Alligator mississippiensis: one gene and its partners. The protein of the gene in region 3 interacts with the protein of the main gene of each other region in a pairwise test. Links are inferred from orthologs where the notes say so. Each region holds a gene or a part of one and is shown on either strand. Other genes may lie near its edges.

The links.
Region 1: the proteins of RGS2 (region 3) and DDR1 interact in a two-hybrid assay, tested with the Homo sapiens proteins (2 studies listed by BioGRID and IntAct). The link is inferred for Alligator mississippiensis from reciprocal best matches to the Homo sapiens genes RGS2 and DDR1.
Region 2: the proteins of RGS2 (region 3) and WDR74 interact in a two-hybrid assay, tested with the Homo sapiens proteins (2 studies listed by BioGRID and IntAct). The link is inferred for Alligator mississippiensis from reciprocal best matches to the Homo sapiens genes RGS2 and WDR74.
Region 4: the proteins of RGS2 (region 3) and CTSB interact in a two-hybrid assay, tested with the Homo sapiens proteins (2 studies listed by BioGRID and IntAct). The link is inferred for Alligator mississippiensis from reciprocal best matches to the Homo sapiens genes RGS2 and CTSB.

What each region holds. Positions count from the first base shown.
Region 1 is NC_081834.1:56,448,849-56,456,306, reverse strand, and holds the start of DDR1 (epithelial discoidin domain-containing receptor 1), read left to right. Parts: upstream 1-4,340; 5' UTR 4,341-4,414; intron 4,415-4,750; exon of another isoform or gene 4,751-4,839; 5' UTR 4,840-5,032; intron 5,033-5,444; exon of another isoform or gene 5,445-5,636; intron 5,637-7,458. UniProt on the Homo sapiens protein: Tyrosine kinase that functions as a cell surface receptor for fibrillar collagen and regulates cell attachment to the extracellular matrix, remodeling of the extracellular matrix, cell migration, differentiation, survival and cell proliferation.
Region 2 is NC_081838.1:3,266,647-3,274,718, forward strand, and holds the start of WDR74 (WD repeat-containing protein 74), read left to right. Parts: upstream 1-5,029; 5' UTR 5,030-5,095; coding exon 5,096-5,156; intron 5,157-5,412; coding exon 5,413-5,519; intron 5,520-5,618; coding exon 5,619-5,740; intron 5,741-6,154; coding exon 6,155-6,218; intron 6,219-6,508; coding exon 6,509-6,652; intron 6,653-6,829; coding exon 6,830-6,931; intron 6,932-7,112; coding exon 7,113-7,213; intron 7,214-7,330; coding exon 7,331-7,386; intron 7,387-7,504; coding exon 7,505-7,647; intron 7,648-7,756; coding exon 7,757-7,813; intron 7,814-8,005; coding exon 8,006-8,072. Other genes in the region: TMEM179B (transmembrane protein 179B), read left to right, coding at 1-137. UniProt on the Homo sapiens protein: Regulatory protein of the MTREX-exosome complex involved in the synthesis of the 60S ribosomal subunit. Participates in an early cleavage of the pre-rRNA processing pathway in cooperation with NVL.
Region 3 is NC_081828.1:61,772,096-61,779,192, forward strand, and holds the start of RGS2 (regulator of G-protein signaling 2), read left to right. Parts: upstream 1-3,982; 5' UTR 3,983-4,034; coding exon 4,035-4,135; intron 4,136-5,678; coding exon 5,679-5,780; intron 5,781-5,877; coding exon 5,878-5,939; intron 5,940-7,097. UniProt on the Homo sapiens protein: Regulates G protein-coupled receptor signaling cascades. Inhibits signal transduction by increasing the GTPase activity of G protein alpha subunits, thereby driving them into their inactive GDP-bound form.
Region 4 is NC_081824.1:8,402,875-8,410,596, reverse strand, and holds the start of CTSB (cathepsin B), read left to right. Parts: upstream 1-4,688; 5' UTR 4,689-4,791; intron 4,792-7,722. UniProt on the Homo sapiens protein: Thiol protease which is believed to participate in intracellular degradation and turnover of proteins. Cleaves matrix extracellular phosphoglycoprotein MEPE. Involved in the solubilization of cross-linked TG/thyroglobulin in the thyroid follicle lumen.

The DNA of each region.
Region 1 (7,458 bases), on a different chromosome or scaffold from region 3:
TGGAACGTGAATCAGAGCTGCCCTCGTGGCAGCCGGGATATCCTGCCTTTGTATCGGGTGTGATTCATCCCAGCTCCCCCACACTTTCTTCCTAGGCCCTTGGCACACATTACATATATTGCACATCTTACTGGTCAATCGTGAAATAAATTTGGACTGGCCACAAGTGCAAAGTAATTACCTCCTATATTCAGAGACCTGAGGAAGACTGTCTTACACATGAAAGCTTATCTAACATGATACCAGCTACCTAGTTGGTCCAATAAAAGAGATCACCCTAAGAAATCCTAGCCTCTCAAGTAGTTATCACATGGTTAACTGGTCAGTTGTGCAATCAATGTAGTAAAGGGCCAGCTATGAAAAGGGCCAAGCAGCTACACAGTGCTTGAAAATGTATAACAACTTTACAGCTGGTTTCTATCCAGCTTTAATCAACATGTAACAGGGCTCACACATGTGTGCAGACATACACATGCACACACACACACAGGGTCTCTCTCCAACCTTTGATTCCTGCTCCACCCAAGTTTTTAAACCATCTACCTGGAGGGGCAGGGGCATTTCTATTCTGGCAGTAATGAGAGAATCCACTGACTTTGTGACTCATTAGCATCTCCCTAGTTCCTGCTAATCTCTCACTACTCCATAGGTGTGCATGACCCCCTCACCTTTTCAGTGGTCTTGTTCTACTATTCAAGCCGTCCTTCCTTCTGCAATGTTGCTGTCTGTCAGCCATTCCTCTTAATGTTTCTCTCGTATTTCACAGCCCTGTAGACTGTTTATAGCTTTTGCCAAAAGCCTTATCTCAGGTGTGGTCCTATGAACTTAAGTGAACATTAACTCAGGTGTGGAGATGACTGACAGTGAAGTGTTGGATGCGCTGTCAAGACACACAGGCTAGTTTGTGCTTTATACATCTGAACAAGAGATGCACAATTAACTATGTTGGCTACAGGATTAATGAAACAATTTCTTTTGATGATTTTTGCCTAGTTTGTTGTGTATTTTTAAACCTTATATAAAATCTAACTAATTTGTACACATTCCTATAAAGCTCGACTTGTTTTTGCTTTGCTCTTAAGCTGAATATCATCGCACTAGGTGCCTTAGTATGTTAGTAAAGCTTCTAATTTCTATTTAAGAGTCAGCATGGATTCACCAAGGACAAGTCATACCTGACCAACCTGATTGCCTTCTATGATGGGATGACTGGTTCTGTGGGTGTGAGGAGAACAGTGGATGTGATATACCTTGACTTTTGATACGGTCTCCCACAACGTTCTCACAAGCAAGCTAATGTAGTACAGGTTGGATGAATGGACTATAAAGTGGATAGCAAACTGGTTGGATCACCAGCCTCAGAAGGTAGTAATCAATGACTAGCTGTCTAGCTGGCAGCTGATATCAAGTGGAGTGCCCCGGGGGTCAGTCCTGGGGCCAGTTTTGTTCAATGAATTAATTCATCAATGACCTGGAAGATGGGACAGAGTGCACCCTCAAAAAGTTTGCAGAGGACACAGGCTGGGAGGAGTAGTAGATACATTGGAGGGTAGGGCTAGGAATCAGAGTAACCTTGACAAATTAGAGGATTCGACCTAAAAAAATCTCATGAGGTTCAAAAAGAAGGGCAACGTCCTGCACTTAGGATGGAATAATCCCATGCATCAATACAGGCTGGGTAATGAGTAGCTGATTTGAACATCCCATTTTTTTAGCCACCAAGAAGAGGGGAGGGGAAGACTTAAAATTTGCACAGGGAAAAGGAAAAGAGGAAGGAGCGCGGGGTCCAAATTGGGTTTTTCCCAAGGGAAAAAGCAGCTTGAAATGGACTTTTTTTTTTTCCATTGGGGGAGCAGCAGGGAGGAGGCCTCAAAACTCAGTTTTTTGGGGAGTCTAAAGGGATCTGCTTATGGCTGGTTAAAAATTGAAGCTGACTTGCCTCTTCCTTCTCCTCATCCATCAGAATGAGGGGGTGGAGGGAGAGTGAAACTCCCTTAGTTCCCAGTTTAAAAAATGGGAATTTTAAGTCCTCCCTTCTGGTGGTGGACTGGGGAAAGAGGGAATCTCCAATCTAAACCAAGGCAGCCGAGTGGGAAATTCGTCTCTTACTTGTTAATCCAATGATGGTACGGGTCTTTTTACCAAGTGTGCAGACTAAGATACGGTTGTCCTTAGGTATCCTCAGCAGTTACAGTTCTAATACCTTAGTTAGTCAAAAGCCGAACAGCATGCTCACCACACCGAGCTATAACAAATGCACCATCACTGGATGGACAGTCCGGGAGGTCTTGTCCACAGTTCCTGACTCCTTCATCTGAGTTCTGAGTCTCGGATTGGTGACTGGGTCTTTTAAGAGCAGGCTCCGAAGGGTACGCTCTCTCACCACTCTTTATATACCAGATAGCTTTGCATTTCTTAATACAGGTTTCCCTCGCTTTATGCAATACACGTGTTCCTGGAAAACAACACGTAACTTGAATTTGCATAAAGGGAACCCATTTTACAATGCAACAAATAGGGATACGTTCCAAGACCTTGACTGTACTGACCCCCAGGCCCATTTCTATCACTTTTACAAGACATTTTTGGTGCTCACCAGTAGCAGACAGTACTATTGTAATGAGGATGGCAACTACAGAAACACGTCGCACACGAGTGAGGAGCACAGATCCACACAGGAGACTGTATTTTGGTGCGCATCCCTCCCACAATGCACCGCACAAAGCAACTCTACCACACTAATCGCATAAGCATTAATTTATCTTGCATATAACAAATTTTTGGTATAAAAAGGGTCGTCACATAAGAGCGAATTCGCACATAGAGAACCCACATAAAGCGAGGGGAGCCCATTACATAAAAAGAGTTTAAGTCTCCCTCCTAATGCATATTAATACTTTTGCTTCTGTTTGCCAAATATGGTTACCCTCAACTGAAATTTTCTATTCTGAAGTAATTTTTTCAGTCTTAGGTAGAGGTAGGTTTTTTTCCTCTTACTGCTCCTCTTTTGCCCAGGCTACACTTGTTCTGAGCTAACAAGAGGCCGAGAAGCAATTTATTCAATTTAGTTAGCCAACTCCCCAATTTGTATAAAGTCAGGAACAGTATTTTCCATCTGCTCCTTTCACCGAGTGCATGTCTCGACCACAATTCAAGCTAAGCACTCAGCTTAAGCTAAGTACAAAGGTCAAAACCTAGGCCTGAAGGCCTCTGGGTCCCAGACCACTATTGGGATTGGGGACTGGGCATCCTGGATGAGGGGGATTTGGGGACAGCAGAGACCAAGGGGGTAATGAGAAGCAGGGGTCGGAATGTGGGGGGGACTTGAAACGATTTTTCTTTAAGCTGCAAGCGTGCGAGGGTAGGGGAGGGAACTTGTAACTACCTTTATCAAGGCAGGGCTGTGAGGAGGTGAAATGGAGTTTTTTTAGCTTGTGGGTGTGTGTGTGTTTAGCTTGAGTGTGTGTGGGGGGGTCATTTTTAGCTGGGGTGTGTGTGTGTTTAGCTTGTGGGGGTGTAAATACGTTTGTAGGAGGAGGGGTGTGTGTGCATGTGTATGTTCAGTTTGTGGCATTATCAATGCATAGGGGGTGCACCCCCCCGAGATCGGCCGTGCACCCCCTGGAAGCGCCAGCCGTGAAACCAGAAGTGCACTTCTGGTTTCGCCACTGGCTTAGTGATTAGCTGCTGGGGGACCCCCCCCCCCCACCATTGGCAATCAGCCATTGGGGGGACACCCCCCTGCCCCAGTCTGCGTTTTGGTGCCCCCCCAGGCACCAGTCACCCATGGCTTGTGGAGTTGTGTGTGTTTAGCTTGGGGGTGCTTTTAGCGTCTGGGGGATGCTTAGCTTGTGGGGTGCATGTGTGTGTATGTGCATGCGTGCCCCTGTGTGTGAACGTGTGCGTGTCTGTGGGCCTGCGTATCTACGTGCATGTTGTGCCTCTCTCGCATTTCCCTTAGTGCCAAAGGGGAGGATTTGAAACTCATATTATCCTAGTATGAGTCTGGAGGGGGGTTGCAAGTCACTTCCCTGCCCCCCTAGCACTGGGGATTTGAAGCACATGTTCCCCTTAGCACCAAAGTTGGGGGGATTTGAAACTTATTTTATCCTAGTAGGAGTCTTCCTTCCCCCTGCCCCTTCCCAGCAAAGGGGAATTGAAATACACGGTCCCTTTGGTACCAAGGTGAGGTTTAAACCTCATTTTATCCTAGCACGAGTCTGGGTGTGTGTGCGTGCAGGGGGCGGGGGTTACAACTCACTTTTTTTCCCCCTCCCAGCTGGACAAAGACACGTGTGTAAGGGGACTTAAAACTCACTTTTTACCCTAGCCCGGGAGAGGAAGACGGGTGGATTTCTTGTCCTTGGCAGAGACTGGGAACCCCTTAATACTTTTCCACCCCGAGTGAGAGCAGGTGAGAAGGGACAGGCCTCTTCTTGCAGGTCTTGAGCTAGAAACAGGGAAGTGGGGAATTTTTAAGCTGTGATTTCTGAGGCAACCCTCCCGCCCCCATCTCCCCCTTCTGTCTTCCTTTTCTCTGTGCCTGATGGCAGCCCAGCCAGGCACAATGAGGCTGAGAGGCCCCTCTTGGGAAAAACTCTGGCGAACAGCTGAGAAGAGGAGGAGGCGGCAAGGGGGAGGGAGGTCTGGGCTCTTTGCCTACACTTCGCCAGCGAATCCCAGCTCCCGGAGAAACAAGTTTATGCAAATCCTGGGGCTGGTGGAGGATGAGATCAGGGGAAAGCAGAAGCCTTCGGAACTGGACTCTTTTGCAGGGACACGCCAAAAAAAAAAAACAAAAAACTGCTGGTTTCTTTCTCTCTCTCTCTTATTGTGCAGAACTCCTTGGATTTGGAGGGCTGGGCTTTGTGGGTGCCAGTCCTCGAAGACTCGCTGCTGGGAAGACCTCGCTCCCCAGCTCCGAAACTGGATTTACCAAGTGGCTTCAAACCTGGGCTCCTGTCTCGGGGACTTTTCTCTTTCTCCCGTGGATTATATTTCCCTGTAAGACAAGCAAGGAGGGTCAGAGAAGGTAATTCGCTTGGGATGCATTTTCCATGGGGCGGGAGAGGGGAAGGGGAGGCGGTGGAGGGGAAAGAAAAGGGGATCTCCCATCTCCGATTTTCTCGGCTCTTAACTTGGTGGCTGTCAATGGCATGAGGCCCATTCTCTCCATGACCTTGGTTGAAATCCAGAGCGACCCCCAGGGACACAGGCTGGATTCTGAAGTCGGTGACCTCTGAGTAAACCCAGAGTGATCCCTGGGGTGCTCCCCGGCTTCTTGATCTCAGCGAGGCCAGCGTAGGCCTGAGATTGGAATCCGACAGGGACTATTTCAGGTCTGGCTCCAGGCACCGAAGTTTGCAGCCGTCTCGGAAAGGTTCGGCAGGCGCCAGGTATAAGCTCTGACCTGAGCCATTTTTAACCCGCCCCATTCGGGGGCTGTCTCCAAATGGTTTCCTCCTCATCCCGCTTTCAAACCTTCACTCTCTCCGACCCCTCGCTCTCCCATGAGACCCTTCCCCTTCAGCCAGCTGCTCCACGAGTTTACACGGGTGAGACTCATCATCTATGCAGCCTGTGAACCATAATAACAGTGAATCGATCACTCCCGGCCATTGAAATCGCATTAGCAGGTAACGTGATTCGGCCTGGATGGACACGAAGAATTATAGCGGGTGATAATTAACCATGGGAAAGACCTCACAATGCCAAGGCCCCATGGCCATTAGCAAAAAGGAGAAACTAATACCCAGCAATGGACAATTCGACATTTAAACAATGGGGAATAGCAAGATCTACTGCTGTTGCTGTGAGAGGTAAAAATAAAAAAAAATAAAAATAACAGCTAGTCACTAGAGGGAGTAAAGCTAAGTAATTATATCTGCTCTGATGTTTGAGGTGATAAATGTGGTCATAAATAGCAGAGGCAGAGCAATTATGCAAATTAGTGTTAGCATTGCTGCTTTTTTTATTGTGGATTACAGTAAAGCAGATAACACAAGAATACCACTAATTATGAAGGCAATTTGGCAAAAGATTCATGTATTACCCACACAGTCAAACAATAAATATAATAGAATATATGACAAGTAATGAATATGATATGATATGATATGATGCAATGTATAATATAATATAGTACAGTATAATAAAATGTTTCCATAATAGTATTAGCATTCTTAGAATATATTCTTAATACACACACGCTGATGTAAGTATGTATTTAAGTTATATATTAATGATATGCACAGAGCTGTGATTAATTGTATATTTTAGATGGTCACAGTTACTCAAAATAACAGTAATAGTAATTAGTAGGTAACTCAGACCTTCTGAATAGAGCAGGATATAAATCAAAATAATAATCAGAATCATCATTATCCTTATTGAAACTATAAGAATTAAGGCAATTTTGCTAGAGATCATAGAATTACACACCAAACTTTGTGATTAAAAACAAACACGTTTCAATAATATTAACAGCATTGTTGTTATAAATCATAAATACACATATACACACATATCTCCAGATACACACATACATATATACACACATACATATAGACACATATGTATGTATCCATACATATATATACACATATTCATATAGAAACACACACATATAGACATATGTACATACACACTTACAAATATATATACACACCTGTACACATACACACATATATATACACATGCATACTAACACACATATACACACCCAGATACGTATAGACACACATTTGTACATATACAACATGCACACACACAAATACACACATATATATACATATACACACGCATATATATGTACACATATACATACACACACACATCTATGGCTCCATATTGTTAAACTATGCACATCTGGCTATATATGCAAGGATGCATTATTCGTATAAATCATATATGTGATTGGATGCATGATTATAGGTTATTAATCAAAATATATTTGATTATATATATGTTTTGATATGACACCTTATTTATTCACATACTCCACTAACCTTTCCCCCAGAAACTAGCAATTGAAAATTGAATTAGGAAACTGTAATGGTTTGGTTAAAAGGAAAAGAAATCCCTCTTTTTTTCCCCCTGCTTCATTTGTACTTCCCAAAACAAAGGTAGGTGTCTACTTCGGGGGGAGGGGGGGTGTTAGGTAGTTAAATACATTAATCACTGCATGCGTTGCAAGTTGTAGTAGTAGTAACGATGCTAATGCTAACAATGATGATAATAGGAGTGTGAATACGAATATATTGGGTAAACTAAACAACATATAAAAAGTAAGGCAGTCTTACTAAAACTAATGCAGTGACACCCAGGGCTATACAATAAAGACAGGGATCAATAGAAATAATGTTAGAAATAACATAGCATGCTATTAGTTATACAGAGGTATTAATTAAACTTGGGGCCCGGTGGCACCAGGCGCTGTACACATACACAGACAAAGAG
Region 2 (8,072 bases), on a different chromosome or scaffold from region 3:
TTTTTTGGGGCCTGCTGCTGGCCGTGCTGCTCCTCCAGCGCCGCCAGGACGCCCCCTTCCGCCTCCTGAGCCGCAGGGACCCCGAGTGGAGCGCCGAGACCGAGGCCATCATCGGGGGCCGGGGGCCTCGGCACTGAGAGCGCCCCCCCGGCAGACCCTCTTCTCCTCCCCTCTCTGCCCCCTCCAGCCTCCCATGCCCGCTGCCGCCCAGGCCACTGGCTCCGGGCAAGGGGGGGCCCTAGACCCAGCCCCACGGAGCAGAGGGGCTGGAGACACCGGGAGCCCCCCGGCTTTGGGCTCTGACAAGCCCGAAGCCGTCCCGACACTGGAGCCAAAGTGCCGCGAGGCCAGGGGCCAAAGCACCCCGGACTGGGGCAGGCGGTCTCCAGCACTAGTTGCCCCAGGGTGGAGGGGGGGGGTTTGTATCCCGAGCCGTGCCTCTTTTGTACCAAAACCTCCATTAAAAAAGCTGCTTCTCCCCAGAGGAGCCCCCGGCTGCCGTCTCCCCGCCCCGCGTCCGGCCCCGCCGCTCATGAGAGGGGCATTGTTCTCCGGATCAGCCCCGAGGCCGGATTGGGGTCACGAGCTGGGGATAAACCCGGGATGACCCGACCCCCGCCGGCTAGGCTGGGCTGGGCTGGGAGGGGTGGGGGGGGTGCTGTTTCCCTTCCATGGGTCCAAGGCCCTGCAGCGCGGGGGGGGGGCCTCGGCCACCTGCTGAAAATGTGGGGGGGGCATTGGGGGTGTTTGGGGGGCTGCTGGGCAGGGTCTGGGGGGCTCTGCAAGTGGGGGGATCTCCAGGGTGGGGTTTGGACGGGGCTCCCCAAGCGCGGGGGGGGGGAGCTCCAGGGCTGGGGAGGCTCCCCATAACATGGGGACTCCAGGGCTGGGTCTGGGGACTCCCCAGAAGTGTGGGGGGGCATCCAGCGCAGGGCCTGGGGCGGGTGCTCAAGGCGGTGTGGGGGGGTCTCTAAAGGGGGGGTCCCCAAAGAGCTGCGCATGCGGCTCCTATTCCCATCTCCCGCAAACTTTCGCGCATGCGCACGGACCCTCCTTGCCGCCCGCAGGGAGGCACATGCGCACTTCCTCGCGCGCCATCCTCCTCTCCGGGCATGCGTATGGAAGCCCCGCTGCGTATGCCACCGCCCTTCCCTGACGTCAACGGGCGCTCTCGGCCTTCCCATTGGTCGGCCCGGCGGAGTCTCCCAGCATGCTTCGCGACTCGGAGTATTTCTGCCCCGCCTGCGGGCTTTTTCGGCCATTTCCTGCGAGTTGCTGCAGGTGAGTGGACGGGGGGTCCGCTGCCATCCGCCGTCTGCTCCGCCCGGGGTCCCCGCGCCGTGTGGGGCCGTTGCTGCTTCCCGCCTTCCTCCTCGGCCCTGGCGGTATTGCGGCGGAGAGCGGGGCAGGGACCGGGGGGAGGGGGTGCTGCTGCCAGCCACGTGGGGGGGGGGGGCGGTTTCCACGTGGGTTGGGGGCCAAGGGGCCTGTCCTGAGTTGGGGGCTTCTGTGGGCAGGATTAAGGGGTCCTCAGACCCTGCCCTGGATACCTCCCGTGATGTCCCCCGGGGCACCATGAAATGCCCATGTGCAGCTCCCCCCCCCCCCCCCCCAATAGCCCCTGCCCTGGAGATTCCCCCCCTTGGGGAGACCCCCAAACCCTGCCCTCAAGACTCCCTAATCACTGGGGGAGCCCCCACCCCCCTTTGCCCCCCCCACTGATCCTGTGCTGGATATGCAGCCTTGGAGACCTCCAACCTCTTGGGCACCCTGGCCCTGGGGAGCCTCCCTTGGAGCTCACCCCCCCCCCCCCCCGGCCTGCGCTCGGAGTCCCCCCTGACCCTGGAGCCTGCAGCCTTTGGGGGGAGACCCTCACCCTTTGCATAGGGGCTTATGAAGCCTCCCTCTTCCCTTTGTGGGGGTGTATGGGGCCAGGAGCTGTGGTCGGGGTATAGGGGAGGGAGTCCCTCGCCCTGCCTGGGGTCTTCCATCTCCTGAGCCCTGGGTGTTGGGGCCTTGTGGGGGCAAAAGCCCCCTTCTCCCTCATGGGGTGGGGGAGAACCTGGGGTGCGGCGGGATGCTGTTCTATGACGAGACCTATCACAGACCTGTGCTGACGGCCGTGTGAAGACCCCCATGATATCTGAGGACAGACCTGCCTGGGTTTCGCGGGGGGGGGGGGTGCATGCCTCCTGCCTGCCTGCATGTTAATTCTGCCCTTCTTTCTCTGCTAGGTCTGGTGGCCCTGGTGCCTGCCCTGTGCCTAGGTGAGTCGCAGGCTCCCCTCTTCTGAAGGGGTGACGACGGCGGGCGGGGGATATGTGCTGTGCCACAAGGACGACACCAGCGAACTCTCTCTTGCTGATGCTTCAGTGGAGAAAGCCTTTACCAGATTCTGAGTGGCACTGTAGGGTCCCACCCCGGGTGGAGGGCTGGGCTGGGCTGGGCTGTGTCTTGGTGTGTGGGGTCTCACGCATGTCTCCTCCCTCAGGCATGGATCACACCAGCTGCAGGTGCCTGCAGCTTCTCTGCAGGTGAGTGCTGCTCCCCGTGGGTGTGAGGCTCTGGCTGGGATGGGGGCAGGGCTGGCGCGTACCTGCTCCCCGCCTGTTCTGTGATGAATAGAAAACAGACAAGCATATGGCTGAGTGTCCCTGATGCCAGCTTCCTTCTGAGAACCTGGGAGCCCTGCCTGACCCCACAGGGGGAAGGGGGGTGGGTCTTAGGAGGGTCTTCATTCCCTTTCTCTTTACCTGTGATACCTTGTAGGGGGTTGGTTTTTATGGGGGGGCTGGGCTTTTGAAGCCCTGAGATCCTCATCTCCTTGTTGCAGGTTGAAAGGCTCCTCTGTGGAGGCTGGGCTGTGGCTGTGCTCATGGAGGTAGGTTGTGGGGCTGGACTGGGCCTTGTGGGGGTCTGTGGGGCTGAGAGGATAGATAGGGGAGGGAACCCTCTTCCAGACCCTGGCTGGTGCCAGTGCTATCCTGGGGGGCTCCGCAGGCCAGCGATCTGAAAGGATGACTCTTGTTGGTTGGACGACTTTGTGTCTCATGGCAATTTGTTACCAAAGCCCTGATCAGACCGCAGCTGCCTCTGCTCCTGCCCCAGCCTCAGCCCCCTGCATCCCCTCACCCTGTTGTATCGTCTTGTCTCTTTTCAGGCAGGACCCCTGGAGCCCGGCAGTGGTGAGTAGCCCCTGCCCCCATCATAGCTCCCAAGCTGCAACCCCCCACCCCAGGCCTGTCCCAATGAGGAGACTTGCACTTGTCTTACTGCCTGTTCTGGTGCCAGAACCTGCAAAGGTTGAACCCACTGGTGCCGGCAGCCGGAGAGGAGGATGACCTGTTCTGGCTGGAACTGTCTGATGGGACTCTTGGCTTATCGTGGGGGCTAGGGGCGCCTGGGGGCTGTGTGGTGGGTGCCTATAACTGAATGCTCTGGTTCTCCCCAGGTGCTAGGAGGGAACATTGCTGCTGGCTTCTGCCCAGGTGAGTGCCTGGTCCCTGCCCCCCAGGGCTGCCCGCTGACGGGATGAATTCACTCTGGAATCTCGTTCGGCTGAATGCTGCTGTTGAGAATCGGACTCTGAGTGTCACGGGCGCTCCCTGCCTCTGTAGAGCCCTCGCCTTAGCCCTTGCTCTGCTTGGGGCCCCTTAAACATTCCTTACCCTCCCCCAGGCTGAAGATCCTTGGAGAAATCATCTGGCTGCAGTGACTAGGCTGTGAGTGCCCCCCATGGCTGCCTGGCATGGAAGAGAAGAGGCTGGAATAAACCCTCTGGAGTGCAGAAGGGTGAGAATCTTCCCTTGCTGCAGGCAGGGGTATGTGGGTGGCTCTGATTGCGGTTTTGTGATGAGTTCAACTAGCTCACTTTGATGCATAGCATGAAAACCTTTGAACACCTGAAAGCCGGTGAGGAGGGGGCTGGGGAGCCATCACACCTGGTGCCAGGGGCTTATTGTACTGCTTTCTTTCTGCAGGGAGAGCTGAGCTCCTGGCTTGGAGGTGGTGACCCCCACATGGTGAGTGCTCAGGGCCTGAGGAAGTGGGGCAGCAAATCCTGGTCAAGGATGAGGCTTATACCGCCCCAGGCTGAACTCTGTGACTGAGTGGTCCCTCTGAGGCCAGTGGCTGCAGCCCTGTGTGGTGTGGGGGGAACTGGGCCTGATACCTCACCATGGGGCTGGATGAGAGGAAGTGGGGGGGGGGGGTTGCTGGTTGCACATTCAAGCTGTGGTGAAGGAGCAGGCCCCATTTCTCACTACTTGCTTGCAGGCTGGAGTGCTGAAGAGGTGATGTGGCTGCAGCAGGAACATGCTCCTCCTCTCCCCTTTGCTGTGTACCTAAAGGGCGGCTGGCCTGGCAGGGACGAACCCAGCTGCTGTCTGTCTATACCCGGCCTAATGAATAAAAACATCTCTGTCTAAAGCAGTTGTGGCCGTGTTTGTGTGTGGCTATCCGACCTGGAGCTCAGCTGGGGGGGGGGGGTTGGGGCTGGTTAGTCTCAGTTGCAGCCTAACAGTGCCCTGACCGCGTGGTCCTGGGTCTGCATCTCCATCCAGCATCCTCTGTGGGGCTGGGGCAGTCCCCTTACCTCCATCAGCCCCTCCGGGGCCTTGGCATTGGAGCAGTGGATGTAGGGGGGGTGGTGGGAAGCAGCCTCTGCTCTGCGAGTGGCCTAGAGGTTTGCTCCTTAAAACCATAGATTAGAGGGGGGGGGGGGTACTATTGACGGCCAGCTTACAGCTGGGGCATGCGGGGGGAGGGAAGTTGGGGTTGCATGGGGGGGCTTTGGGGGCGGAGCCCCCCCACGCGCGGGACGCCCTTGTTGCATGTTAGAGGTGGCGGGAACGCGGCGTCACGTGAACGCGGCAGCCCGGAGCAATTTCAAGAGCGCTCCCACGCAGAGCGGAAGCCGGCCCGGGCGGACTGATCCCGGAAACCCCGCCCCCCTCTTGCCTCTGGTCCGGCAGGATTCCCCCCCCGGCCGCGGGAAGTGCGCGCGTGGGCGGGGTTCCGCCCCAGTTCCGGTCCCCCCTGCGCTCGCCGGAAGTGCGGCCAGCCGGAGCCGAGAGAGGCAAGGACCGGGAGCAACATGGCGTCCCCCGCGCGGTGGAATCACGTGTGGGTCGGCGCCGAGACCGGGATCCTCAAAGGTAGCGGGTGCGGGGATCGTGACCCCCGGGGTGTTAATGGGGCCTCCCCTTATCCCCCAAGGGCAGGAAAGTGCCTTCTTGCCCCCCCAGGGGAGTTACAGGGGGAGGGGGGCACGCCCCCCTCCTTGTCCCTTAGGCTGGCACCCCCCTTCCCTTCTACTTGTGACACCCCTTTTGCTCCCCCCCGACTGGTTCCTCCCAAGCTGTGCCCCCCCATCTGAACCCCGTCCTTCTTTTTCATCTCCTGCCCCCCCAGGCGTGAACCTGCAGAAGAAACAGGCCACGAACTACACGGCGTCGGGGGCGCTGCGGCGGGATGAGGGCGTCTGCGCCATGTGCTGGGGGGACCCCCTCGAGTCGGAGGTGAGGGGCCGGCTGGAGCCGGCCGGTCAGGCCCCGGGGGGTGGGGAGGGGGGTCTGCAGGAGCTTTGCGTGACGGTGCTTCCCCCTCCCCCGGCCCAGATCCTGGTGGGCTGTCTGGACCGGTCGGTGAAGCTGTTCAGCACCGAGAAGGGGAAGTTCACGGAGTCGCGGCTGTGCCCTGGCGGGGAGGGGCCCTTCCGTGGCCTGGCTGTGCAGGACGGGTACGGTGTCCGAGCCTCCCCCTTCCTTCTGCTGGCCCGGTGGGGGGCTGTGGTTTAATCCCCCAAGGCCTGGCGTCTGTCCAGCCCCGTCCTCCCCCCTCCTTGGATCCGAGGGGCAGTAGTTTGCTGCACGGCTTCCTCCGTGCCTTGCGTCCCAGGCACCCGTCTCCTCTCCCTGCCAGAGCCCAGGCAGGGGTCCGTCTGCTCCCTTCCCCATGGGGCAGCCTGGGCCCTTGAAAGGGGTTAGATGTTTCCGCCCTCCCTGGGGTTCCCTGGGCACCGTTCTCCCCCTGCCGGTTTTGTCCCTCGCTCCTGGGGCCTCCTGGCGTTTGCAGCTGCTCTTAGCGAGATTCTCTGTGTCTGTGTGTACGTCTGTCTGTGTCCGTGTCTGCCTCCATCTCCTGGCCCCGGCAGCTCCCTCATCACCTGCGTGGAGTCCGGGCTTCTCAAAGTCTGGCACGAGGACTCTTCTGAGGCTGTGAGTCTTTGGCAGGAAGCAGGCCGGGCTGGGGGAGGGGTCCCATGGGAAACTGGGGGGGTGCCTTGTCCCATTCCCCCCGCCCAGTTTCTGAGTGTCCAGGGCTGGTTCCTGGCTGCTTTGGCAGGGAGGGGCAGAGCCTGACCGGTGCCCCTGGGAGGGGATGTGAGCTGGGGGTGGGGACACACCACATCACACCCCGTCTCCAGTGCCCGTCAAGGCTGGGGGGGATGTAGGGTGGCCCCCTGGGTAACATCTCTCCTGTGCTTGTCCTCCCCCCACCTTGCCAGGCAGAGCTGCAGGTGGGGCCCGGCGTGTGCCGTATGCGGCAGAACCCGGCACGGCCGCAGTGCGTGGGCACGGGCGGGAAGGAGAACGCTCTCAAGGTCTGGGACCTGCAGCAGCCCCAGGAGCCCATCTTCCGTGCCAAGAACGTGAGTGACAGCCCTGGCCTCACTGTCCTGTCCTGTTCTCCCCCCCACCCCACTGGGCCTGGGCATCCTCAGCCCCCCACCCCTGCCCCTTCCTCATGGCTCCTGTCCGGCTCTGTGGCATCACCCACGTGTACTCCCCTCCCCCCCCCAGGCTCACCCCTCCTTTCCCCCCGGAAGGTGCGGCACGACTGGTTGAACCTGAGGGTGCCCGTCTGGGACCGCGACCTCCAGTTCCTGCCTGGCTCTGAGAAGATCATCACCTGCACTGGGCACCACCAGGTGGGAGCAGGGTGGTGGGAGGGAAATCGGGGTTGTGGAAGGAGGGGGGGTTGTAGGGACAGGTTTGGGGGCAGGGTGTTACTTTTAATAACAGGAACGCTGTGGTTGGTCCATCCCCCACCTCCTGCCTGGGCAGCTGGCCATGTGGGGAGGGCACCCTGACCCCTACTCTCCCTCCTAGGTGCGTGTCTATGACCCCAGCTCCCCACAGCGGCGCCCTGTGCTGGAGGTGACATATGGAGAGCACCCGCTCACTGCCCTCTCCCTTGCCCCCGGGGCCAAGTGAGTGCCTGGGCCCCCAGACACCTGAGTTCTCCCCTGCTCCGGGAGAGGGGTGGGGGCTGGGGGTGAGAGCAGGGGGGTTAGGCGGCCCCTTGCTCACGCCTCATCTCCCTGCAGCTCGGTGGTGGTGGGCAGTGCCCGCGGGGACGTGGCCGTCATTGATCTGCGACAAGGTGAGCCCTGGTGGGGCTGCGGGTGCTGTCAGGGCTGTGGGGGTGTCTCCCAGGCTTTGCTCCCTGGGGGTCTCAGGCCTGCTCACCGGCCCCTTGCCTACCTCCCCCCTTCCGCCAGGGCGGCTACTCAAGTGCCTGAAGGGCTTCGCGGGGGCTGTGCGCGGGGTCCAGTGCCACCCGACCCGGCCCCTTGTCGCCTCCTGTGGCCTTGACCGCTTCTTACGCCTGCACGGCCTGGACGACAAACGCCTGCAGCACAAGGTGAGCTGGGACCCCCCCAGCACCCTCCCGAAGCACCCTAGCTGGCATCTGTCCTATGGCCCCCCAGCGCTGTTTGCTCCTTCCTCACTTGGTGCCCCCTTGGCCGCAGGTTTACTTGAAGTCTCAGCTGAATTGTCTGCTGCTGACCAGCCGAGAGGCTTGGGAGGTGAGTGGAGGAGGGCGGGGGCGGAGGGGGGGGTCCCAGGGCCAGGACGGCAGGGATGGGGAGCAGGTAGGGGGCATCTGAGGTGTGGGGGGGCAGGGGACCCTTACAGCTTCTGGGATGGAGACTATCAGTCCCCGCAAGGACAAAGACCCTGACCTTGATGTCTGTACCCCCCTTTCCTTGCTCCCCCAGGACGAAGACCCCGACCCAGCCAAGGCGGAAGAGGTCAAGGAGGAAGAGGATGAGCTCTGGGCCGCCA
Region 3 (7,097 bases):
ACAGATGGTATTTACTAGATACCCCCACTTCAACACATTTTGGAAATCTGTTTCCCTCCTAGATAGAAGAGAATCAACCCTGTGCACATGCCTGCTGCAAGTAAAATGAAGGAGAAGAATGGCCCTTCTACCTTTTAGTCCAATAGCCTAGTGGTTAGGGCAACTATCCATGGAGCAGCAGGCTCAGATTCCAAATTACCCTTGCTTACATGGGGTTTGAACACCATCTCCCACTTCCCAGCATAGTGCTCTAAACCACTTGCTTGGTATCACTCAGAGCACTTTCCAGCCCTCCCCTTCTAGTTGGCCCTATGCACCTTGAATTTAATAATTTCTACAAGTAGGAGTTGTGGTTCAACTTAAAAAAGTGGGACTCCTGTCTTCTGGAGCAAGCAACAGAACCACAGTCCTCAGTGGGTTAACTTCAAGAGGGCCGAAGAGTGCTCTGGGTAATGCCTAGCCTGTAGCCTGGTGTTTAGACCACTTTGCTGAGGAGCAGGAGGTGCAGTTTCAAATCCTGCTTTGGGTGAAAGGGGATAAGGACTCGGGTCTGTGGCTCCCTTGGCATGTGCCCTAATCACTGGATTAAAAATATGGACGGTCCCTTTTTCCACCATGGTTTTTCTCCCATTAAAATTTTGGGACTTACCAAGCATTATGCACATACTTAAGTGATTCTAGTCTCTCAAGCAGCTGCTTAGCCATACCACAGCCAGGTGGTATCTTAATAGACAGGCTACACTCTATCCCAAACTGTGCATAAAAGTGCCAAAAACTGCTGTGACTACACCCTTAGATCTTACTAATCACAATGAATACAATCTGTATGGCCATCTCAGACCAGTCCCTGCTAGACACTGCGCTCTTCAGGGCAGTTCAGTAGTGCAAGCAACTGTAAGGATAGAGAAGAAATAGAAATGTATTCCAAATCTGAATGCCGTGGACAAGTTGCTGCCCAGTCAAGCACTTGAATCTGTTGGGAAATAGCACATAAATCCTCAAATTATAGCTAAAGGCTTAGACAAAGAAATAAACAAATTCAGTTTCATATGGCAGCAATATACACGATTTCTACTTGCCAAAGAGTTAGAAAAGTGTAAATGTTCATACAGTTTAAGGCAGAAAAAAATAGCGTACATAATCAGGGAAAGAAAAACTACCAAGAAGTGAATACTTTAATTTTATGTATCTTTCTTTTGAAAGGCTGCCTGCATTTATAGTTCTCATTTCTTCTTTTTCATGAGCTGTGCACACTCCAAGGAATGACTTCAGCAAAAATGAAAACCGTTTGAGTCTTTAAATAGTTTAAATGTTTAAAAAGCCCAGTGACCCTGGACCAGGATCCTGGACCCTTGAGTGCCATGAAAATCTTATAAGAGTTCTGTGCAATACTAGCATCTATGTATGGTTCACAAGAAAAACCCAGAGGTTTAAAATAGGAATCTACAGGATCAAAAAAAAAACCAACACCCTAATCTGTTGTGGGTTTTCTGAGCTCTTTGCAACAGAAGAATTGCTCTATTGTTTTTCTGTGGTCAAGAAATGAATGAAAGCTAAAAGCTGGCATTTCTGAATAGTGCCTTGAGTCTAAAGGGGTTGAGAATCACTGGTCTATTAAGTTGAGCTGAAAGTAAACCTAGCACCAGGCAGGGGAGAGACTCAGTCCTTTCCCTTGAGATGTCAATACGGTGGGGGGGAAGGGGTGCTGCACATTTGAAGGCACCAGATTAATGCTTTGGAACCTTTTCTCACATTCAGGGAAGGTCAATGGAAAATTCCTTTATTAAATTAAATGCCTTTAAAAATTTCCAGGCAGATTTTAGCGTAAGAACAAGCACAGGTTGTACAACATTTTCCAAGTGCAAAACTGGTTGTGAAAGGCAGAATTTCCTGTAAAACACTAGCACAAAGGGGATCATGTTTGGAATGTAAATAATTCTGTGCAAAACCTGGTACATCTCCTTACCAGACACACAAATAAACTGAAGAGAAATACAAGACTTTGCTTAGTTAACACACAAAAAAATGAATTCTCGAACGCTACCAAGATTCCATCGTTCCAAACTGTTTGCTGCAGAGTACAATAAATAGCAAATGCTAAAGCAACCTTAGCATTATCATTAAGATATTATGGCAAAGAGAGAACATAATTATTAGTCTGAATTATCCTTTTTAGGACTGTTTTCTTTTTGGGAGGGAAGAAGGAGCTAGGCTGATGAGCACAACAGCTCTTGCATTATTATCCATTGACCTTCCCAGAATGTGAGAAAAGGTGCCAAAGCATTGATCTGGTGCCTTCAAATGTGCAGCACCCCTTCCCCCCCACCAGCTTTCTGTGCACACACCTACCAAATATATATCTATATACAAGTGAGCACACACCTACTAAATATATATATCATTTCTCAGCAAGCTCAACAAAGACAAGAATTTTGCTGCTTTGGGTTTCTACAATGCAGATATTCTCTCCCAAATCCCAATGACATCCAGTACATTATATATGTATGTGTGTTTATATGTGTGTGTCCGTGTGTGGTGGGGGGCGGGGGTTTCTACACAAGACACTACATCATCATAGCAATAAGCTACGGCAGCATAACTCGTCACTAAGGCGACATATTGTCAATGGGCACTAATCGTGATGCCACTGCTAATGCACAGTAGCAATGACCTGTGTGCCGCCAGGGCTGCACAGTACTGGCAGAAACGGCACAGTCATTTAGTACTGTGCTAAAGCAAGTACTAAATGACTGCACAGTACCGACTGCACAGTGGGGCGCACATGTAGACGCGTTCTGTATGTATATGTGTGTGTATATACATGGGCGACTGGTGCTGCCTTAGTCGGGGGGCACATGCCCCCCAGTAAGTGGGGGGGATCCCCCCATGGCCAGTCCCGCTGACCAGGGAGGAGGAGTCCCCCCATGGCTGATCGCAAGACAGCCAATTGCTGAGGCTGCATCTGGAAGTGGCTACGGCCGCTTCTGGGAGCGCCACGGAGCTCCACTCCTCGGCCGGTGCTTGCAGAGGGGTACACCAGCGCTCTCAAGGGGTGCACGTGCAACCCCATGCACCCCCTACGTGTCACCACGTGTCCGTGTATGTAGATAGATAGATAGATAGATAGATAGATAGATAGATACGTGTGTATACTGTATCTGTGTGTCTTTAGATAGCTAAATAGATATGTATATATGTATATGCATGCGTGTATATATATATGTGTGCACATCTGTGTATGTATATAGATAGTGTGTGTACTGTATCTGTGTCCGTGTTTGTAGATAAATAGATATGCATGCGTGTGTGTGTATATATATACACACACACACACACACGTGTGCATGTCTGTGTATGTATATAGATATGTGTATACTATATCTGTGTCCATGTGTCTGTAGATATGTATGTATGTATATGCATGTGTGTATGTATGTGTATATATAAGAATATATATATACACCATATGTGTGCATGTCTGTGCATGTATATAGCTAGATATGTGTGTATACTGTATCAGTGTCCATGTGTCTGTAGATAGATAGATAGATAGATAGATAGATAGATAGATATGTCTGTAGATAGATAGGTATGTGTGTGTCTGTAGATGATACACAGACAGATAGATGTGTGTGTATACGCCGTATATGTGTGTGTCCCTAGATGGACAGCCAGATAGCCAGCTATGCGCGTGTGCGTGAGCGCTTTCCTTCTGGCTATAACCAAAACAGAAGCGCTCGGCTCTGCTGGCAGCTGCCGGCGGGCGATTACAGCAATCGCTGGTTTCTTTCTTCTTTTTTTTTTGGCCAGCGATTGCCCGGAGCCGGAGGGACACTGCGTCAGCGCGGCTCCCCACGTGCGCGCCCGGCCGCCGGTGACACACGAGCCCGCGCGCGCTGTTCTTTCCACGAGCAAATCGGCGCCGCGCGGAGGCGGGACCCAGAGCAGCCCCGCCCCCGCCGTTCTCTATAAAGGCCGCCGCTGCCCCGCGCTCGTAGTGCCCGCCTGGCCTGAGCCGCCCCGGAGCTCTTAGCATGCAGAGTGTCGTGTTCTTTGCCCTCCAGCACAACTGCGCACAAATGGAGCGGACTGGTGGCAGCAAAGAAGAGAAGAAAGGGAAGATGAAGAGAACGATGTGAGTTGATATGAGCTGTATGCCTGTCCTTGCCCAGCTCCCTGCAGAGCTACCTGCAGCTTTCAGGATCGGGATTTGAGTGTGCCTCTCAGTTGGAAAAAGCCTTTGATCTGTAAATAGGCATCTATAGACATGGGGATCTATGAATAGATCGATGTAGAGGTGTGTGTATGTATATGCATATTTGTGTGTGTGTGTATACATATCATCTGGAAATAAACCTCTATAGACATAGGCATCTATACATGTATATCTGCTAATAGATGCATATGGCTATGTGTGTGTACACGTGTATATTTATTTGTGTGTAGACATAGGCATCTATAAATAGTGTGTGTGTACACACACACACACACACACACACACACACACACAGATCTGGTAGATGGATCGGTCGATTTATCTATCAGATTTGGGCATTAGTGACACTTACATTTAAATAGGACATTTACACAGCCTTGGTGGTCTGTTTTAAAACAAAAAATGCTTTCCGCTCTGATGCAAGTATGAGGGCAAGGACAGAATGGGGTATTTTATGTATTGGATGTCACAGGGGATTTAGGGAAGCCCAAATTGTAGAAGCCCAGAGCAGCTAAGTGCTTGTGTGTGCTGAACTTTTGCTGAGAAAGGCAATGGCTGGGTGGGTCTGGTGCATGTTTGAATGGGGAAATGAATGCAGATATCATTGTTGTGCCTAGAAACAGTGAGGTTGTACGGGGTGAGTGATGTCCTCCTATAATCCTGTGCTGCATACAGGGTATAAGGAGTTGAAAATGCTGCAGGGACCCACTATCCCAAAACAAAGCATCTCTGAAAAGCTTGCATTGACTTGATTGTTTGCATTATCTGATGAGACCTATGATATTTAAACTGTAAGGAACAGGCTGTTGTGAAGTTCCCCATGTCATGTAAAGGTCTGTGAATCATTCTGTGCTGCAGCTTTACTCTTTTTTGCTGGTCTACAGATTTCATAGTGTGGCCCTAAAATAGCCTAGCCACTTAAGTGATCATTTGGGATTCTCTGAGTCCAAATATTGGCCCTCAGACTGAGAGAGCAAATCTCTAAATTTAAATTTATTTATAATAAAAAGTTCTTCTAAGAACAGTACACCTGAGACTCAATTCCCATTTTAGTCTCTGACAGGCTAAAATTCCCATTGATCATGGAAAGACTGAGTCCTGGTCAACATGCTATATTGTGTCATGTTCAAAAACACACCTCTATTTGTTTCACTATTCAGAGATGCCTTAGTAACAGTTAGTCATTGTCCTGTCACAGGATAGGGGCTGGTCTGCTCACCTTAGCAGTGAACCTTTGTGCTCCCTGAAATAGGAGTCATACCTTTCTGAAATGGAAATTAAAGATGTGGAATCTGGTCCCACAGCTGCTGGGCTGGCAAAACTAGCATGAAACACTAATGAAAAATTTTGCAATGCTCTTTCCTAGCTCAAGTAAAAAATTGTGAAGATGTAACAACGTGTTTTTGTTTTGTTCTGTTTTTAATGAACTGTTTATTTAATATAGTATTTTCTTATTTTCTAGTGTTAAAGATTGGAAAACAAGATTGAGCTATTTCCTGCAAAATTCTTCCACTTCTCGCAAAACGAAGCCCAAGAAAAAGGGAAAACAACATGCTTACTTCAGGTAACTTAAAGATTCAGATTTTGCTCAAATGAATCGCAGATGTTTTAAACATGAAAGGAACAAAACCATCTAACATTGTCTATCCCTCTTTATACAGGCCTTCTCCTGAAGAAGCCCAGCTGTGGTCAGAAGCTTTTGATGAACTTCTAACTAACAAATGTAAGTCAGTCTTGAAGGAAGATAGAGCAAGCTTTTATTTACAAGATTACCATCTCCCTGTAGTTTTTAGGAAAGGCTGTCACAAATAAGAATAAGTCTTGGTCTTCAGTGCACATCCAGATTCTAAATTGCTCATTGAACAACTTTGTGAATGCATGAATATCTAAGCCCTAGCATGTCCTTTTTATAAAATGTCTGCATGTACCTAAAAAATCATAAGAAAAATTCTCATGAGAAACATTTCTGACTGCAAAATCTTTATTTCTTGCTGTAGCCCTAATCTTTGTCATCTCCCAGTATTTTTAGCTGGCCCTGTATTTCACTCTAGCTTTGCAGGAATATACTGCATAAATGCAAAAAAGAGCCATCCTTTCACACCATACTTAGTTTCTGCATTCAGCAAGCTTTGCTCATGCACCAACTCTTATCAATTGACAATTAACCCTTAACAATAAGAGTCTACTGAATGTCACGATTGATTGTAGTAGAGGATGAATTGGACCCTAACGCATAGCTCTAACATCTTGCTCCAAGCAAAATGCTAATACATGACAGTATTTTCCTCAACCCAAATGGTACATGCTTTGTGCTGCTTGTATACAAGAGGGATTCCTATCCACGATAAACTGTTAAATTTACGTATTTTGGGCTTGATTCCACAACAGTGAATCAATGGCAGTTTATTCCTCTTTGGGTTTTACTGCAGTCTCTGCAAAAGAAACCACTTACCAAATGAGCAAAAAAAGACTAATTAGATCAGCATTTGCTCCAGTAAACTTTGAATCAGCCTTTTCCTTACAAACATCTTCCAGTAGTTTATAGCTCTGTCACAAATATTTACTCCCACCTAGAAGTGAATATACAAGCTCTCCTCTCAAGAGTGGAATTGTATAATGTCTGTTTTAAAGATATAGCAATTTTTTTTGGCAGGGAGGGTGCTTTGTTTTATTTTTAAATATGTTGAGTTTAGATTGGTTTGTTTTTTTTGTCTTATGGTTTCACTAAAAAAAAAAAAATGAAGCGCAACAAGCTGTTGCAGAGATTAATAATTGTTTGTATATATGCAGAGAGGCAATTGCATGCCGTAACAGCTTTAAAAGAAATAGAGCAAAAAACTAGCAGCAAATGTTTGGTTGGGGAAAAGGTATGATGAGCTGT
Region 4 (7,722 bases), on a different chromosome or scaffold from region 3:
GTCCGTGCGGGGCTGGGGTGCTCCCTGCCATCAGGGGAAGTCTCACGCCTGGTGCTAGAGCTTCTGCCCATGGCGCTGCCAGTGTGGGACCCAGCATGTGGCTGGCAGGCACCTGAAAAGGAGGGAGCGCGGCTCTCCAACCCGCCTGAGCTTGACCCCCCCCGGCCTATGCCCTTGCCTCCATCCCTCACCCAGGATCCCTTCATTCAGTCATGTCTGATGGGTCTCCACTCACTGCCGATTCCCCGTCCTACCCCCATCGCAGAACAGGGATGCATGGGTTATCTTGCTCTCAGGGGTGAATGGTCCAGGCCTGCTGGCAGGATCCACACTGTGCATGGGCAGTGCTCACAAGGCAGCCACACCTGGAGCCACGGGGTGCTCCCTTGCCACCGCAGCCCATGGGGGGAATGGCGAGGGATTGCTCTGCAGCTGCTTCATGCTGCTGGATAGGCCAAGAGGTGAGGCGTTCTGCAACACAGCCCTGCACGGGGCACAGCGTGGTCCTCCGCCCCGGCTTTCTGTTGAGCAGGAAACCACCACGCATCACCCTGAGCACCTTCGGGAAACTGCCGTGGGTGAGGCAGCTCTTGCCGCAGGAAGGAAAGAACAGCTGCAGTCGTGTCTCTCTCCTGCTTGTTAAAGGATTGAAGCTCCCGGGTCACAGCAAGATGAGGGGGCACGTTATGCAGAGCTAAAATGCCCAATGCTTTCCCATGCAATCCCAAAGGACCTTCTTCCCACGCCTCCCCTTCTACAGGAAGCCTCTCTGAACCCCTGTGTCCCTGCTCCGTGTTGCAACACAGCCCCCCCCCCGGGGCTGCCTCTTGGGACCCCAGTTGTGACCTGTTGCTCCATAGGTACAGGCAAGCTGATTTTCTGACCGGGCAGCAAGGGTTAGGCACATGCTGTTCCTGGGCAAACCTAAATACTGAGGTCTTAGCTGTGATCCGGGCAAGATATGACATCATGATCTAGTTTCTTAAAGCCACAGGGTCCAACATTACTCCCCATCGTGTTTTGTTTTCCAAAACCAGGACGCCGTCAGAAGAGGATTTCAATGCAACACGTAACTGCATCTAGTTTTTGCAGGGATGGATCTGCAGGGAGGTTAACCGCTTTATAAAACTCTACTTACCAGTAGCTCTGGGCAAGTAATTTATTTGGGTCAGCAATTAAGTTATTATCGTTAGCAAAACACATAGAATTAGGGCAGGCCAAGTTTGGCCCGTGCTGGGAGCTGTACGTGAGAAAGTTTTGCAAGAGTTAGACAGAGGGTTGCTAGATCCTGACTTGCCTGCCAAATACAGCGTAGGCATAACATCGGACCCCACACAGCCGGAAACACCCCTGGGAACTCCAGGCAACATCTTCCCCAACCTACTGATGAAAGCAGGCAGACATGCCTGAGATCACACAGCAGGGAAGCTGGGGGCGAAGCAGGGAGCTGAACCTGTCTGTCTCAACCCCAGGCAAGCCAATGGACCCGATCCTCCTATTCTCAGCATGCTGTCCGGCCCAGCACCCTGCACTGAAGCAGCTCCTAGTATGTTAAAGAAATACCATATGCAGTAAGTGATAGCATGGTCAAGCTTATTCCTATATACAAGCATGGATCAAACCTCCAAGCATCCAAAGAGAAAAAAAAAAAGGACAGGCATGTACAGTGCTGTTGTTAGGGTGGTAAAGTGCTTTAACCTCCGTCTGGCCAGTGGACCTGTAGCCATTGTGGGCGGTTTGCAGCTTGGGTATCACTGCCAAGCACCACTGACCCACTGATTTTGTCTTCTTTCATCTGTCAAGATGTTGGATGGCCTGCCTTAAGGTGCTAAGCCCTAGACAAAGGAAAGGAGCTGCTAGCGATAAGCTAACTTAAAAAGGCTTAAAAAGGCAGTAGACAATAGCAAGGAGCTGGGTGTGCCAACCTCTTGGCTCCAGTGTGTCCAGGAAAGCCCATCAAGAAGGGAGGGATTTAATCTTTTATTGCCCCACCTACCTGGTTGGAATAAAGTCAGACAAGCTCTGAAATGCAAGACTGTCTTCATCAGGTCTGAGGGGGGAAGCAATGACTCCCCCCCCTCTTAATGACCCCCTTCCCTCCCTTTGGATGGGTCTTGATCTGCCAGGAATAAGCTTCCTTTCTTCTGCTAATTGTTTCTCTGCTACCCCTGGGAATTTGCCTCTTCCCCTCCATCTTCACAGTTCAAGTCTTGACTGGTTGGTTGCATTTCTGCTCAGACTTGATGAACACAAAGCAGGTGTAGCTTTATTTCAGGTCGGGTAAAAGATATCACCCTTCCCCTCCAAAAAAAACCCCAAACCCCTTGCCTCTTGCATAATCCTTGGCTACATCATTCACTAGCATCAACAGTAATGCCAACTCTCATGAAAAAAATCAAGACACTCCTGATTTCCAAGCCAAATTAACTCTGACTCATGATCTTCTGATAGAGAGATCACATCTCAGGATTTTCTTCTTCCGGTGCGTGTAGAGAGCACCAAGCTGGTAAGTCTGTGGAGGGGACGGGGCAGGGGGAAGATCGAGGGGAGGGAGTGGGGCAGCAGCTGGGGTGAATGGGGACCCTGGGGCAGGGGCGAGTCATGCAACATAGCCGTGGGTGGCTGTCTGTCCACATGCCTGTGTCTGCCCCTCACTCCCAAGCCACAGCCCCCAGCCCTGCTGCTGCCCCTCACCCACAGTACCCTGCATCCTGCCAGGGCTGCAAACCTCCCCCCCCCCACACCCCTTCACAAATAACCCTCCCCCCATGCACACTTCAAAAATAGCATCTCATGATTTACATTCCAAATCTCTTGATTTTTAAGAGTTTGTCTCATGATTTTTGACACGATGGGGGTGGCAATACTGCATCAAGAAGGGACTAAGAGTAAGCAAAGCCTGCCGAAGGAGGCTTTGTGTTTGAGGAAGTTGATGAGAACATTTGGAAATGGTGGACTGGCTCTGATCTGTTCCTGGAAAAGTATTTTAGAGCATTTGCCTAAAGTCATGACTAAGCCTTTGGGTTTCATAAAGGAATTTTAGGTTGATTACTGGTGTGGTCGGGTCAATCCAACTGCAGCACAGGGGTGGAGGAAAGACATGATGGCCTGGAGGGAATGGAGCAGAAGGGATGGTGCTGGGGGGGAGTTTATGCCCACTGGGGCATGCTCCTCTTCAAAATTGGGAGAACGGGTGAGCCTCACCACTTGCAGTCAGCCAACATCTAGGGCACTCGCTGGCAACCCTCTTCTGCTGGTCCCCGCAGGGGATAACCACCCACTACCGCTGCCAATGACTCCATGGGCTCAAGCGGCTGAGGCCTGCCAGGCGGGTCCAAAGCAGCAGTTCTCAACCTTTCTAGACCAGCGGCACCCCTCGATAGATTTGAGGCACCCCTCAAACACTCAAGGCGCTCCTTGGAAAATGTCCGTTCTCACTCGTTTCTTGACTATAGCAAAATAACAGAGCAACTCCTCTGTTGCAAAGAGCATCGGCATCAAGATCGTGCCATATGACCGAATGTCTTCCTTTTTCATTTTGATTTTTTGTTTTTAAAAAGGCAAGGAAATGACACTGCCTCCTCCCGCAACCAAAATAAAATCCCCACCTACATGCAGAAAACAGGATTAAGCATGCAAAGTCAAGCCCTCAATGGCTACAAAATGCTGCCCTTTTTTGACCGGACACAGCCATATTCGGGGCACAGGATGGATCTGTGCTGGGAGGAGCTGGTGTTTGCTGCTGCTCCTGAAAGGCAGGTAGTGAACAAGGTGCAGGCAAGGGTAAGCCTGGCACATCCCAACTTTTGAGAGCCTTGCAATCTTAACGCTCAGCTGGTTTCTATGTGTTTCTATGATGGATGCACTCCAGCTAATGATCATTCCTGCTCTACTAAGCAGTATTTAATATTTAGCCAATTTTTCCGCTGGCACTTGTTGCCGTCATGCCCCCCCCAGTACCCGAGTGGTTTGCAAACATGAAGGACTCCAGACTTTCTGAGCTGTGGACGGTATCTGACGCCAAGTGAGAAAGCTTTTCCTAATATCTAACCTCAACTTCCCTTGCTGCAACTGGAGGCCACGGCTCCTTGTCCCTGAGCCCCATACAGATCAGTGGTCTCAACCCTTTTCGTACCAGCACCCATTTGTAAACCTCGAACGCCAGGCCTGACCCAGCACCCCTCACTCCCAACCTGCTGCCCCCAGCATGCAGGGCAAGGGGTGGGCTTGCGGGGGCCCCAAGCAGCCCCTTGCAGGCTGGAGCCATGCTAGTTTCCTGTGCTTTCCTCCTTTAAAAGCAAATCCATTTTTAACACTTGTTTGCAACCCTTTCATATATTCTTGCAATCCACTGGTCTGGCCAAACGCTTGCTAAATCAGCACCCAGCTGTCTGCATTTTGGGTTTGACCTTGCACTGCCTCTCTAGCAAAGCTTCCAGCTGGGGCTGAGCTGGAGGTCAAGCTATGCTGTGCCACACCAGGGGATGTGCCATGCACACCTCTTTCCAGCACGGTGTAGGGACTGCGGGGGGTGCAATATGGGGGCCAAGTGCACTGTCCCGGCCAGGGCTTTGCTTGCAGACCCTCCAGCAGGGGCTTTGCCTGCAGGCAGGCAGGCAGACCTCGCAGGGGTGGGGATGGCCCCGGCTCCTGCAGCGCTTGCAGCCAGGCCCCGCCCGGGCTCACGCGGGGCGGGGGCGGGTGATGCGGATCATGTGAGCGGCCGGGAGGCACGTGAGCTGCGCCGGGATAAGGGCCGGGAGGCTGCGGGCGCTGCTGCTGTTGCTGCGGGTAAGTCGGGCTGGGCACAGGGGTTTGGTTTGGTTTGCCTATTTTGGAGCAGGATCTATGCGTGCCCCTGCAAGGGAAAAGCTAATTTTTTCCCTCCCCCATTTCTCTCCTTTTTAAAGGCAATTTTTTTTTTTTAAATTATGATTATTTTTATTTTAGTTTAATCCGTTTCCTAACCTTGCTCCGGATCCTTTGCTGTGTTGTTGCACCCCCTTGCTAGGCGCTGACCCGCAGGGTGAGACAAGGTGACCTTGCTTTCTTGGCCCTGTTGCTCTCGCACTAGGCCAGGGGTCCCAGGCAAAGGGTGCAAAGTCCTTGCTCTGGATTTGGCAGATGTGCCAAATCCAGAGCTGCCTTCGTGTCTTTTTTTTATGTGCATTGCTTAAGGTCCTGCTGTGGGTCGTCTCCCCCCAGGTTGCAGCAGTCGGTGCCTTCCCTCCTGGGGGGTGAGCAAGTGACTTGGGGCTTGCATGGGTGGGAGTACGCTGCAGCTTGGGCATTGCATAGGTGCTCGGGCTGCTTTGGGAGGTGCAGGCAGCTCCTTAGCTGTTTGGTTGTACCCTGGGTCTTGGCCCTGCGCTGATCTGAAACGTGGGGCCTGGTCTGTAAAGATTTCTGGGAAAACATAACTCCTGGGCGTGGATGTTTGGCTCTTTACTGTGCGAAGTTGCCTCCCTCCCTGCAGAGTTGCTCCCGGTTTGCAGCACAGGCTGAGGTTGCACTGTATGCCCAGGTCGCTCCTGGGTGCTCGGTGGAAGGAGATGCGAGATGTGTGGCAGGGTGTGCGTGCCTGGTGGCGGAGCAGGGAAGATAGAGGCGAGGCCTGCCCAGGGTTTGGGACAAGGTGCTGGTCCCTGGGAGAGTCCTTTGGGAGCAACTCCTGAATGGGCATAGATGTGCCTGCCATGCGGGTTACCCCAGTGCGGCTTGCCTGCTCTCGGTCACCACCGATGCCTATGCCAGAGCTCGCTGCAGAGGAAAGAGCTCATTGGGATTGTGGGATGTGTAATATGGGATTAAAATGGCATCTGCAGTGCCTCTGCAGTCACTGCTAGAAGAGATCCTGGGGATAGGGGCTGCTTCCTTTGCCTTGTGCCATCCCAAATGCTTCGGCATGGTAGGGTGGTGCATGGGGCATCGCTGCCCAGCTTGGGGCTGCTCACCCTAAAAGGGCATCCCTGAAATCTCTAATTCTTAAAAACAGGCGGGGGGACCAGGCTTGTCCTGAAGCACAGCTCAGGCCACCGGAGCCTGGTTCATGCATCGGCTTTGACTGGCCCTGCTACTGCTGAGGGGTTTTGGAGGAAACTTCCCAACCTGCCAGCCCTCTGCATCCCTGAATAGACCCCTAGAGCTGGTTTTGACCAAGAAGTGTTTAAACATTTGTCTAAATGCTGCAGCAGGAAACTGGATCCCAATATCTTAACTCTGCAGCATAGGGCTTCCTGAGAGGGCCCCAGTCTGTATTGTGGGTGTTTCAATTCCTGATTAAACTAGGAAGCTTAAGGGGGGGGGGCCTTGTGCTGGGGGAATCAAGTTCCAGATGCTTGCACGAAACCTGATTTTAGTTTATCCAGATGTCTCCTGAGTGAAATGAAACTTAATTCCTTAGAGCAGCCTTTTTTCAATGTGCTAATACTGTGTGGGGAGGGATGCTGTGTCTTGCAAGCCTAGAGCACATGCTAATTTTGCAGCCTGTGTAAGGGATGGCAATGTCTGCTCATTACCCTTCAAGGATGCAAACGGGTGCTTCTGGGTTTTGGTTTGTAGCTGTGTTGGTTTAAGGTTCCTGAGTATCTGTGATATCTTTTATTAGTTGGGGGTGGGGAAAAATGGCTTTTTTGCACGCTTTTGGGTGCAGTCACCCTCTGAAAACTGACCTTTTGGTGATGATGCAGGCCTCTGTCTACCCTGAGTTTTGAGCCTGGCACTTGTGCGACAAGCTAAGCTTGCAATTTGTAGCAAAATGCAGTTGCTTTGTGCACACGTTGGCTTCGTTGCAGCTTAGTGTTACACGCACAACGGTGACAAACCAAAGTGACAGCCATCGCTGTGAAGGATGGGGAGTTTGGGGATTTTTCTCCGTAGAATGGGTGTGATAGTTGCAAGATGTAGGTGCAGCGACCCTGGAGGGGCACTTCTGGGGTTCTGTTTTATAGCCTGGACAGATGCATGATTTGTATTTTCTGTCTCCCTTGTGCGTTCTTGGGAGCCTGTGAATGTTAAGCCTCTGGAGAGGTAGACAAGTATTGTACCCACTTCCTGATAAGTAAACTGAGGCACTGACATGACTTTCCCTACGGTCAGTGGTGGAGGCCTCAATAGAGCCCAGGTGCTCTGTATTATTCTTCTGCTCTAGCCAGTCCCAATCCATGATGAGTAAAAGCTTCCTAGCTGCTGGTTTATGAATGGGAGCATACCCTCTGCATTTGGTATCGGGGCAGCAGTGTCTTCACACCATTGCCCCGTGTTGCTGCAGTCCTGAAGCTCTCCAAGCAGGTGCGCGCCTGGGATCTGTCCTGCCCATCGCTTTGTTAAAGAGGATGGGTATAGATATCCATGAAAGCAGTACAACCACCACTTCTTTGCCCTCTACCCTCTTCTGTAAAGCATGGGAGGATGCAAATGCCCTCCCCAAGCATTAGGGAGGGGGAGGCAGAGTTATGGGGAAGTAACTGCTTCAGCTGTTGGAGAAGCAGATCTGAGCTAGATCGGGCCACCCCCTCTTGCCAAGTGCAGCTATGTCATGTCAGGCTGGGCTCAAAGTAGATGCTTTCTGCTCCTTCCTAGAAGTAAAACTGCATCTTGGAGACTTGTGGCTGTTTTGGATTTTGACTTGTAACCAGGCACCAAAAGAAACAAAGCAGCATCTCAAAAGGGTTAGTTCCTCTGTTTCCCTTGCCTGGGCCCCAGCCTGTGTTCAGGATGCCT